Saccharomyces cerevisiae S288C: one gene and its partners. The protein of the gene in region 3 binds, or shares a complex with, the protein of the main gene of each other region. Each region holds a gene or a part of one and is shown on either strand. Other genes may lie near its edges. The genes, in order: MRPL49, MRPL11, MRPL20 and MRPL1.

Region 1 (2,879 bases), on a different chromosome or scaffold from region 3:
AATATCGTAATGGTGATTCCGTTAGAAGCAAAGAATCGAATTCATCAGAAGGCAAACGTGACCAAGAGCAGCTTTACTATGAGTACGTTAACGAAGATGGTACAAAAACAAGATTAAACTTCAATCCTGATTCTGACGCCACGGAACAAGTTCCAGGTGAAGTGAATCGCGATCATAAGATACCATTGAAGCTTAAGCGAAGTTTTACGGATGCATGCAAATCTGAAACAATACCAAATAATACAGTTAATGCTAAGGAAGAAAGTGTATTTCAATTTAGCAATGAACTTAGTGACGGCTGGGAGTCATCACCTTCTAATTCTATACCCAAGCGTGCTTCTCCATCAAAAAATGGCATGAATTCACCTATGTTTCAACACCAGTTTGAACTTCATAGCCCCACCGATGAATTTGGAGGTCATAAAGACGAAATATTAAGCGCGGAAGGCCATGACTACGACATAGATGAATACGATGAACTGAGCGATGACAGTGATGAAGAGTATGATAACTGTGAAGACGAAGACAGTTTGGATTATGCTGATTCCGCCGCATATGCATTGTGTAGATCCAAAAGTAAGGACAAGATATCATGGGATGAAGAAGAACAGGCGCGATTAATGGGCGTTGTAAAATTTAATTCAGAGCATTACAGGGACTAGGAAATAATACTAATTAAATAATTCTAATAATTCTAATATTAATAACAATAATAATAAGAATAATAATTATACAATAACACATGTATTTCCTAACTCACAATCGTTTGGACTACATATGCTGTCTAGTGCCTTATTGCGACTTTGCCCGTTTGATAACTTACTTCGATTGTTTAGTATTCAAAAAGGAAAAAGGCGTTTTCTTTTTCGTGTACTTTTTTTCGAAATTCTGTTGAATTTATTCGAACTCAGAATTGGTCCATCAAGAGCATCCAAAATACAAAATAACTCATCATCACACAAGAAGAAGCACAACTCCAAGCAATTTCTACAATATGTCAAAAAAACTTGCGTCACCATTGTCCTTCTTACCCCTTTATAATTTGCTTTCTGCTGTTGGTTGGTCTTATTTGCTTTACTTGGTCATCTCCTTGTACCCAAAAGTTGGACAGCCAGCATTCTTCTACCAAACTAAAAATGTCGCTACCCTTGTTCAATGTGGTGCTATAATCGAGATCATAAACTCATTTTTAGGAGTTGTACGTTCCCCATTGCTGACCACTGTTGCACAAGTGTCTTCAAGACTACTAGTTGTCCTCGGCATCTTCCAATTGTTGCCAAACACAAGTGGTGTTCAATCAGTTGTTTACATATCATTATTACTGGCATGGTCTATAACTGAGATCGTCAGATACTTGTATTATTTTTTCATGTTGGTATTCAAGAATGGCGCACCAAAGATCTTAATTCTATTAAGATATAATTTGTTCTGGATTTTGTACCCCACTGGTGTTGCCAGCGAACTACGCATTATTTACTGTGCTTTAAATGCAGCTGAATCTCAGTATTCTTTACTTTACAAAAGAATTTTAATAGCGGCCATGCTCGCTTATATCCCAGGCTTCCCAATGCTCTTCCTACACATGGTAGCACAGAGAAAGAAAGTCATGAAAAGTTTAAGATCCTCTTTCGGGAAGAAACTAATTTGAATTCTTTAGATAAATTCTTCTGTATTTTTTATAAGAATATTAGCCTTCACATTGAAATGGCTTCAACGCTCTTAACCATAATCACTAGTATCTTGCGGTGCACGGGCTTTATATTGAGCAAAATTGCGAAGGGTAGCCGAATTAGAGAACTCTTAGAAAGATGTCGAAGCTCACTCGGAGTCGACCTTCACAGCCTACTGAAACAACTGTGCCGAGACAATCTTAAGTGTGTTGCTCTAATTTTCATGCTACAACTGAAATTCATATGGCCAGTGGCCAGAATCACACCTATTTATAGGCCATTTACCAGTCATCCATTCAGAAATTTAGCTACTTCCTCAAGCATCAGTAGTACAAAAGCTAAGACTACTAAGACAGATACAACTCCACTAAAATTATCAAATGAACTATATGCAATATTCAAGATTCATAATCGTCCATATTTGGTGACCGAGGGCGACAGAGTTATTCTTCCATTCAAATTGAAGCAAGCGGAGGTGGGTGACATTTTAAACATGACCGATGTAACAACTTTAGGATCTAGAAACTACAAGCTAGTTGGTCATCCAATCAATACTTCTCTGTATACTTTAAAAGCAACCGTTGTTGGGAAAACTAAAAGGGCTTTCCAAACTAGGGAGGTAACGAAGAGAAGAAATAGACGGGTCCGTCATGCAAAGAGTAAAGGTGATTTGACAATCTTAAGAATATCAGAACTGAGTATGAACTGAATTTTAGGGATATGTACATATACGCATACGTATAAAATCATGTAAATAACAATAAAATTTGACACACTTTCTTCGGCCCCAATGGCCATTCAATTCCAGACCGACGCGTCTTCTAAGTTATAATGCTATGAAATTTCAACAAGTTAATTAAAAGTAAGCATAATAATAAAATCAGGTAATGGATTCACCAAAAAAAAAAATAAAAAAACAAGGGCAGAGGGGTGACCATTAGTACGAAACACTAAATATAGTATTAAAATAGTTCAACTCCACCTCCAAATGCCCTTTTTGAGGAAAATAGCGGGGACAGCACATACACATTCTAGGTCTGATTCGAACTCATCTGTGAAATTCGGCCATCAGCCGACTAGTTCGGTAGCATCAACCAAAAGTTCAAGCAAAAGCCCTCGTGCAACATCTCGCAAAAGCATTTATGATGATATTAGAAGCCAATTTCCCAACCTAACCCCCAACTCTACCTCTTCTCAGTTTTACGAAAG
Region 2 (2,771 bases), on a different chromosome or scaffold from region 3:
AATAGGGTTGGTGTGAATACAGCGTCCCCATTAAATACATGGCAGGTGGCCATTTTAAAGTTATCAATTTTGTGAGCACCTTGAATGAATGTTCCAAAATGACTTTCTGGTTTTTGAGCATTTCCTCAGGCTTTAAGCTTCTTTTGAGCTTCTCCGCGTTTATGTTATATTGCGATATGAAATCCTCATTAAAGGCATATGTAAGTAATGTTTCACACCATTGCATTTGTATCTCGGGGGTGAATTTTGAAGAGTCAGTAATTGTCTTCTTGTACACTTGATAGAAAGCCAATGCCTCTGGTGAATAGGAAGACAGTTTGTCCTCACCACCTGAGGACCCATTATCGTCTGTCTTCGCGCTCCCAGTGGGTGGTTGGTTGATTTTTTGTGGTGGAACAGGATTATTATTCAAAGGTCGTATTGGAGCTTTTTCCTCGGTTCTGTAAACTTTTTCCTGCAGTATCCTAGATTCAGATTCCTCATAGGGTGGTGGCGCTGAGTTGTCCCTTACAGACTCTGATATTCGATTTCCACTGCTTATTGATGCATCTTGTACAGCTGGTGAACCCAAACTCTCTTTTGTAGAACTAAAATTGAAAGGAAGTTCATACCTACTACCAGTACTGTTGGTGCCATTATTGGCATATCCTATTTCACCTGTTGGCTTGGAATTAAAAATGTCCATGCCGTTATTACTATTTATGGTTACTGGAGTGCCTAATTGACCACCATCAGCATTCCCGTCTGTGAAATTCAGCGCACTCAAAGGCAGCGATAATGATGAGGAAGATGAAGGGGATGTAAAAGGAATAGCTGGTGTGAGTTCAACGATAGAGTCATCCACTGGATAGGGTGCAGGCACTATATTTTGAGCTGGCAAACCATGCCTATCCGAATTGGCATTTCCCAATTTATGCGAGGACTCCCGCGCCCTTGCTGGTGGAAACATGTTAATGTGTTTGTCATAGAGGTTAGGTTGCGGTTGGCCCTGATTAACCATTGCCTACTGTATTAAAACAAAGTATTAAAACGTGGTGGTACACTCTGTACAAAAGAATAGAAGGAAATGAAAAGAAAACGGAGTTAAAATCTACTTCATAAAAAGAGACGCTTCCAAATCCAGTCTCTACCACGTTCTTGTATATAATTTGAGCAACTCAAATTAAATTACCGGGATATCTGCTTATTCTACAAGCCATAGCATCCAGTGCTAAGGTTCATCTCAAGCCATCTTCAATACACTTGATAATTAGTCGTCAATTTTAAAATTAGGTTTCGTTCTTGAAGGCACTTAACCTAAGCTTTTTACTATATGACCTATTAAACAAGTCTTTTTCATAGTGTAACCTAACGTTTATACACTAATAACCCTAGGGCTTAGTAGAGATTCATACAGAAAAAAACGTAGAGTTATAGCAGTAAACTGAGAAAAGAAAGAAGGTTAGTACAATTGAAGAGTAAGGAAAACAAAAGCTTTAGACCTTATTGGAAGTGCTTGGGCGCGGAGTGTGATTATAAATAATGTTGCAGCTAAGGTTTATGCCTGGATGGGTCCCCAGAAATGGTTTTTTTGGTTTGAAGGAGACAATTGGTACAGTACATAAGAGATTTTATGCTCTGGCTTCTGAACAACCCTCAAGAAAGACAGTAAAGCCGCTGGACTCGAGGAAGACGTTTCTCATCGATACATACAAGCATTTAATGGAGAACAGTTCTATGATTTTTTTTGTCCATTACAATAATCTTTCCAAAACAGAAGATCACCATTTCAGATTCAAGATTAAACAGACAGGAGGGAAACTCACAAAAGTAAGAAACAACCTGTTCGAAGTCTACTTGAGAAATTCGCATCTGCCCGACCCATGTGGATTCGTGAAGCGTAAAGAGCAAAACTGGAAACATCCACTCTTGCCACTACTGAAGGGTCCTACGGCCACAATTACATACGAAGACACCAACCCTCAACAAGTAGCCAAGCTATTGAAGGTTCTGCAGTCAGCACAAGACAAGCTGATGGTGATTGGTGCAAAAGTAGAAAACGAAGTTTTGAATGTGGAAAAAATAAACACTTTTAAGACTCTCCCCACAAAGCCGGAAATGCAGTCGCAGTTAGTCAGCGTTTTGCAAATGCTAAGTGGGTTGGGTTTGGTTCGTACGTTGGAAAACAGTTCAAATGCATTGTATTTAACACTAAAATCTCACAATGACAACCAAAAACCTAAAGAGGATGTGGAGTCAACTACAGATGCAGAATCGAAGGGATCAAAGTAAAAAGAAAATGCCCGTAATTCGACAAGTTTTATAAAGGTTTTACTATTCAATCATGTACATACATCATCAAAAAATAAAAAGACAATGAAGCAATAACGGTAAATATACTTTAGTCTATGTATTGACGTCAAAATTACCTTTCTTTTACCTTTCTTACCTTTTTACATATCTCAGCGACCGTTGAAAAAAAAAAAAAATGAAAAATTTTGGTGATGACTTCAGCAAAAAATTTCAGGATATTTCTGACATTTCACTTTATTAAAGCGCCACAAAAGCTGGATTAGTATAGATTCAGCAGTTCCCATAGGATAAAATTTTCAAGCGTTTATTGTTAAGATGAAAGCCAAGCCACTAAGCCAAGATCCAGGCTCCAAGCGTTACGCATACCGTATAAATAAGGAAGAAAATCGTAAGGAGTTGAAGCATGTAAAGATCAATGAAAGTTCTTTGGTGCAAGAAGGCCAAAAGATCGACTTGCCAAAGAAGAGATATTATCGTCA
Region 3 (3,035 bases):
TTGAGTAACATTCGCACTCCCATTAGCAGCAGCAATTGGCTTCTTTGGTGTCTTCTTCTTCTTCAAAGTTTTCTTCAATTCCGCCAGCGTGCTTTCCAAATCGAAATTGTTGTCAAACAAAGCTAGCTTAAGTGAAAGATTATCCCAGCCTTGGTAATCCTGTAACTGCGCCTTTAGAGTAGGAAATACCTCGTTCATTAGATCATATTCATCGTCATTCAAATAATCATCAAATTCACCTTCGTCGTGAAAGTCCGGCATGTCGTCTGCTCCATCGCTGTAGTCACTGTAAGCCATCTCGATAGTCAATAGTTGTCGAAGCAGAAGCCTTTGGGTGTCTCCAAGCTGTACTTAACTCTTTTTAAATTGCTTATTGGTTAGCTTTCATGTGGTATATTCAAGTCACATTAATGGGCGTCTCCGTGCATTGTGATCAATATATGAATACGAAGTACTTATAGAGTAGTATTTACACGATTGTTATTATATTTATATAGCATTCACGCCTGGTACCACAGGAGTTTTCTACGCTTACGGTCCTCTCTGGCTATACGCCTCTTCTCCTTCCAGCGTGATTGGATTTCTTGCAATCTACTTTCCATAATTTGTACATGTTGTTCACTAGGTTTCGAGACCATGGATACAAATAATGGCGAAATGCCATATTTTGCAGCCAAAAATTTGCGTGTATACTTTTGAGGATTGTCAAGACGTAACTTCCGGATCTCATCAATTTCTTGAGGTCCCAGATGATAGGTTTTGCCGTTCACTGTGCTCTTACCTACGAGAACATTTGGACACTGCTTCGCTTTAGTGCTTTGAACAGGCATGTCAAGCCCTCTACGAGGGTCACTGGCTGCCATAAAGCTACGTGGAATGGTCTCACTGTTAACAGATCCGGTTGCGATGGATTCTGATGGTTGATAGTACATTCCTGGAGCATCTCTGTGCTTTAAATACCCTTTATAGTTAGATGCGCTCTTAGTCTTGTTGTAAATCGTTGTCACTTGTGTTTTGGGAAATCCAAATTGCTTCCAGGCAGATCCAGCAGTGTGGAACGATCTGCAGCACACACCTCTGCCAATCATTCTTGTGCTATTTTACTTTGTCTTTAATTTTCCATTTTAACTTGTTGAAAGTATCTCTTTTTGCCCTCTTTTCTATTTTCTCAAATAATAAAAGCGGTGAAAGCTGAAAAATTCATGAGATGACTGCAGATGATAAAACACAAGAAGGCCCAAAGACAATACAAATACCTCTGGTATGGGTCATTCGGGGCGTGAGGAAAGGATAAAAGACATATTTAAGGAACTTACGTCAAAAGAACTAACGCCTGGGTTGCTTTTGACACTGCAGAAACTAGCGCAAAAGCCGAATACTAATCTAGAACAGTTTATTGCCAGCTGTAAAGCTTTGACGAAACTCAGCAGTAACAATCCAATCATTTTTAATGAACTTCTGGAGCTCCTCAAGAATAAATCTGAAGAGGACTCGACAGGCCCAAAGAAAATCGCCCCTTCTATAAATAAGAGAAAGAAATTTAAGATCCAGTTAGACCTTGACGATAATGAAGATGAGCTAGATTCTCCAGTTCAAAAAAAACCAGCACCTACACGGACGTTGTTCAAGAGAATAGATAAACTAAAGGCCAAACAGTTGAGGCAGTATTCGCCCACCGTGAAGGATCCTTCTCCAAATAGTGAACAGCAAACACAGAATGGTCATGCTGAAACGAAGGACTATGAACCGACTCGAAGCGAAGTAGTTGAGGAGGACAGAGAATGGTATGATAATGATGATGATTATGGAAATTTGGTGCCTGAACCTCTGTCTGAATTGCCTGAGGAAGCGAAACTACTACCTGTCATTAGGAATATCGACAACGATGATGCCTTACGAAATACCGTTCAATTATACCCCATACCACTCAAGCAAAGAATGGAATGGATCCCTCCTTTTTTATCAAAGTTTGCTCTTGAAAACAAAGTGCCCACTTCCATAATTATCGGGTCCATCTCTGAGACGTCCAGCCAAGTATCCGCTTTATCAATGGTGAATCCATTTAGGAATCCTGACAGTGAATTTTCTGCGAACGCCAAACGAGGTAGTAAGCTGGTTGCCTTGAGAAGGATAAACATGGAACATATTCAACAATCTCGAGACAACACCACTGTTTTGAACACTGCCATGGGGGAAGTACTAGGCTTGGAGAATAACAATAAAGCAAAAGATAAGAGCAACCAAAAGATTTGCGACGATACAGCTCTTTTCACGCCATCAAAAGATGACATTAAACATACTAAAGAGCAACTGCCTGTTTTCCGCTGCAGATCTCAATTGTTATCATTGATAAGAGAAAATCAAGTAGTGGTGATAATTGGTGAAACGGGCTCAGGTAAAACCACGCAACTTGCACAGTATTTATATGAAGAAGGATATGCCAACGATAGGGGGAAATCTATTGTTGTCACACAGCCGAGAAGAGTAGCAGCCATATCCGTTGCAAAAAGGGTTGCAATGGAAATGCAAGTTCCATTGGGTAAGGAAGTAGGCTATTCTATAAGGTTTGAAGATGTGACGGATTCTGAGTGTACAAAACTTAAGTTTGTAACGGATGGTATTCTACTCAGAGAGACCTTATTGGATGATACACTCGATAAATATTCGTGTGTTATTATTGATGAAGCTCATGAAAGGTCATTAAATACAGACATTTTACTAGGTTTTTTCAAGATTTTATTAGCACGTAGAAGAGATCTAAAACTCATAATCACTTCAGCAACAATGAATGCGAAGAAGTTCTCCGCATTTTTTGGTAATGCTCCTCAGTTCACAATTCCTGGAAGAACTTTCCCCGTACAGACCATATATACTTCCAACCCTGTTCAAGACTACGTAGAAGCTGCAGTTTCTCAGGCTGTGAAAATTCATTTAGCAAACGATTGTTCAAGCGGTGATATTCTCATTTTCATGACAGGTCAAGAAGATATTGAAACAACGTTCGACACTCTGCAAGAAAAGTTTTTGCAAGTATA
Region 4 (3,110 bases), on a different chromosome or scaffold from region 3:
CATCTATATCTTCTTTCTCTGCTCTATCTGTGTTACGCCCACAAACCGGTATGCTCTTAAACAGTTCACCATTGAAGACTCCGTCCTTCACACCGTTGGGATTTGGCTTAATAGGTCAAAGAAGATGGAAATCAAGGGGTAACACCTATCAACCTAGTACATTGAAACGGAAGAGAACTTTTGGTTTCTTGGCTAGGGCCAAGAGCAAACAGGGCTCTAAGATATTGAAAAGGAGGAAGCTCAAAGGTAGGTGGTTTTTGTCTCATTGAAATTTCACATACTATTCAGATAAATTTGAATACTTCTTGTACATAGGTATCTAATGATTATGCAACATACACTTTCACTATTATTCAAAAATAAAAGAGCAGTTACTTTATTCCACTTTAAAAAGACGGTTACTTTGTATGTACATGATTTTATATAAAAAGAAAGAAAATGCACCAGTATATATATATATACAATTAAAAAAGTCCAACAAGACAAAACTGATTCGCTGATTAAGCAAAATCGATTACAATACCGGGGCCATGTGTGCTTGATAATGTGGTTTTACTCAGTATATTTGGTTTCTTAGATTTTTGATTATCAACAGCAGTTTTAAATGCCGCTCTAGCGGATATAATGTTTTGTAAAATTTCTCGATCAGTGAAGTAGCATTTGCCGACTCCAATGCTGATAGAGTTTCCCCTTTGCCTGAAAGGCATAGATCCTAGACTTTCTTGAAGTAAGGAGCTTATATCATCACTCACCGTACCTTTTTTGACAGAGGGTAAAACCCCACGAGGACCAAGTATCCTGGCCACCTGCGATTGTAAAGCTGGAACAATATCAGGAGTTGCAAATGCTTTGTCAAAATCAACGCTAATTTCACCGCTTTTAATTTTGGCAACAAGATCTGCTCCGCCAATCAAATGATTTGGGTATTTCTCACGAAGCTCTTCCAATTTACTTTCGTCGTTGGTAAAGGCAGCAATTTTGATATATCTCAAAGGCTTAGGAAATGTCACGCTACCGGATAAAGGCGCTGTACCTCTTTCACCGACTACCAATGTAGTCAAATTAATTGTCTGTTGCGATTGCGGTCTGCCAACTTCTGCTGCGCGTAAATATCTTAGTGCCTTTGTAACAGGCATGTACAATGGGCTTGCTGTAGCTGGTCTCTTTGCCTCGGCCTTTCGTTGTACCAATCTTTTCAACTCTCTTTTTTTGGCTTGGTCTTTTGTTAGCGAAGGTGCATTGGAGGACATAGCTGCTGGTTTATAGTCATCTGCGTATAGTTTTTTTGCAGTATGAAAAAAGCATCTTCTTGCAGGACCTGTGACACATATTTTCGGGATCGCTACTACGGATAGCATCTTCTTTGATGACTTATCACTGTTTAGTTTTCTTCAAATTCCCTTTATTTCAGGTCGTTTTTCAAAATACTTTGGTTTTTCGAAAGTTTTCTCTTTTCGCTTAAAAAGGAGATTTTGTCGCTAGTCTCATAATGTAAGTTACACTAAAAAATAGAGAATAGTAAAGATGAACTGGATATACAAATATAGTATATTTTTACCGCTGTTGAAAACATTTCGTTCCCTCCCATGATACATTCATATTTTTTGTGGGTTTCAAGACTACCATAATACCTACTTTAGAAAAGCTTCGATTAGGTAAAAAAGTTCTATATGCTTTGATGTCGGGCATTTTTACGCATTTAAACATTTATATGATATAAATCTACTTTCTTTTTTTCTTCTTCAACTTGTTCTCAAAGTCTATCCATTTGCTTGGAATACCTAGCTTGTTAAGGTGATCAATGATCGATTGACCGTGTGGACCTTGAACCTGCACTTCAGCACATTTGAATGTTTGTGATTCACTTATTGTTGTCGATCCGCTACAAATCTTTCTTAAGTCAGCCGCAAGTGATTCTGGGTCGACTTGAAACACTTCAAAATTGCTCACTCTGGTAATAACTTTTCTGCCAATTTTCATTTCAGTAATAATCTTAATATGCGGAAGGGAACCCTTCATTGGCGCCTTGAACAAGAGAGTATCATCGCTTTTGAATATCTGATAGAACTCGGTAAAATTATTGGTGAGTAAGGGATGCAAAATTTCACCTCTAGCAATGATACGTGAAGCATTCAAGACTTTCTTCTTCTTATTGACCATATCGAATAATAGATCGTCCATAATAACTTTTCCTTTATCTTTTGTGTCTGCTAGGTTCTTGACAGAAATATACTGAGAAACCGCGCTTCTAATGTCCTGAGAGGTGTAGTACGTGTGAGAAGCCAAATTAACCTCCTTCAAAAGATCTTTGGCAAGATTAAAGGGTTTATACAGAGTCAGTGAATACATCATTCCAGATGTTTTCTCCTTCGAGGTTGTGCTCTCCCTACTTTCTGTGGCAGACTTGCTACAACCAAGCTTATATGGCACAAAGTTCTTTAACTCATCCTTGTCAGTATTTTTGCCCACAATAGTTAAGTCATCCCCCTTTCCTTTTAATTTCAAGAAGCCTTCTTTCTCGAAGTGTTTCAAAAATTTTGCGCTTTTTTTCCATGAAGTTTTCTTTACATTGACTTCATTGTGATCAATTGGAGGCAAATTACGCATAATGTGGTTTGAGATGAAGTTAGAAGCTGAAATGGGTAATTCCAAACCTTTATCTTGAGTCAAGGTATAATATAATGCTCTTGTAATGAAATAATCTACATCCGACACAGTGAAATGGTCTAGAACTTCAGCAATCTCCTCTACATCAACAGACGCTTCTTTTACATCTTCTTGTTCCTTTTCAACAGCCTTGATTTGCTCCGAGGATTCTATCTGTTTACTACTGATATTGTTATCCTTTGATTGAGTACTGAGAACAAATGGAGGTTCCAATTTCATTTTAAAGACTTTGGAGAGCCCATCATTGAAATGATGTATGATTTTGACAGCAACTCCTGTTTCACCAATTACTTTATCAAAGGACGGTAGATCTAATTCGACAATACCGATGGCTAAGACAGTTTCTGGTGCCTGTTTGCTAGCTATACCACAAAGAGTACCTATTTTACAACGAGGATCAAAGGGTGGGATCGAACCGGAAATCATTAAGTTAGCGCCGTTGA

The links.
Region 1: MRPL20 (region 3) and MRPL49 share a complex: the UniProt entries of both Saccharomyces cerevisiae proteins name them as parts of the mitochondrial large ribosomal subunit.
Region 2: MRPL20 (region 3) and MRPL11 share a complex: the UniProt entries of both Saccharomyces cerevisiae proteins name them as parts of the mitochondrial large ribosomal subunit.
Region 4: MRPL20 (region 3) and MRPL1 share a complex: the UniProt entries of both Saccharomyces cerevisiae proteins name them as parts of the mitochondrial large ribosomal subunit.

Annotation. Positions count from the first base shown.
Region 1 is NC_001142.9:244,597-247,475, forward strand, and holds MRPL49 (mitochondrial 54S ribosomal protein bL21m MRPL49), read left to right. Parts: upstream 1-1,893; coding exon 1,894-2,379; downstream 2,380-2,879. Other genes in the region: SAP185 (Sap185p), read left to right, coding at 1-662; enoyl-CoA hydratase PHS1, read left to right, coding at 995-1,648; mitogen-activated protein kinase kinase kinase BCK1, read left to right, coding at 2,659-2,879. UniProt on the Saccharomyces cerevisiae protein: Component of the mitochondrial ribosome (mitoribosome), a dedicated translation machinery responsible for the synthesis of mitochondrial genome-encoded proteins, including at least some of the essential transmembrane subunits of the mitochondrial respiratory chain.
Region 2 is NC_001136.10:96,954-99,724, forward strand, and holds MRPL11 (mitochondrial 54S ribosomal protein uL10m MRPL11), read left to right. Parts: upstream 1-1,521; coding exon 1,522-2,271; downstream 2,272-2,771. Other genes in the region: ACK1 (Ack1p), read right to left, coding at 1-1,000; TRM8 (tRNA (guanine46-N7)-methyltransferase), read left to right, coding at 2,608-2,771. UniProt on the Saccharomyces cerevisiae protein: Component of the mitochondrial ribosome (mitoribosome), a dedicated translation machinery responsible for the synthesis of mitochondrial genome-encoded proteins, including at least some of the essential transmembrane subunits of the mitochondrial respiratory chain.
Region 3 is NC_001143.9:598,594-601,628, forward strand, and holds MRPL20 (mitochondrial 54S ribosomal protein mL58 MRPL20), read right to left. Parts: upstream 1,089-3,035; coding exon 501-1,088; downstream 1-500. Other genes in the region: ribosome dissociation factor GTPase HBS1, read right to left, coding at 1-297; DEAH-box RNA helicase PRP16, read left to right, coding at 1,264-3,035. UniProt on the Saccharomyces cerevisiae protein: Component of the mitochondrial ribosome (mitoribosome), a dedicated translation machinery responsible for the synthesis of mitochondrial genome-encoded proteins, including at least some of the essential transmembrane subunits of the mitochondrial respiratory chain.
Region 4 is NC_001136.10:682,224-685,333, forward strand, and holds MRPL1 (mitochondrial 54S ribosomal protein uL1m MRPL1), read right to left. Parts: upstream 1,359-3,110; coding exon 501-1,358; downstream 1-500. Other genes in the region: YDR114C (uncharacterized protein), read right to left, coding at 1-3; mitochondrial 54S ribosomal protein bL34m MRX14, read left to right, coding at 1-269; TMA64 (Tma64p), read right to left, coding at 1,723-3,110. UniProt on the Saccharomyces cerevisiae protein: Component of the mitochondrial ribosome (mitoribosome), a dedicated translation machinery responsible for the synthesis of mitochondrial genome-encoded proteins, including at least some of the essential transmembrane subunits of the mitochondrial respiratory chain.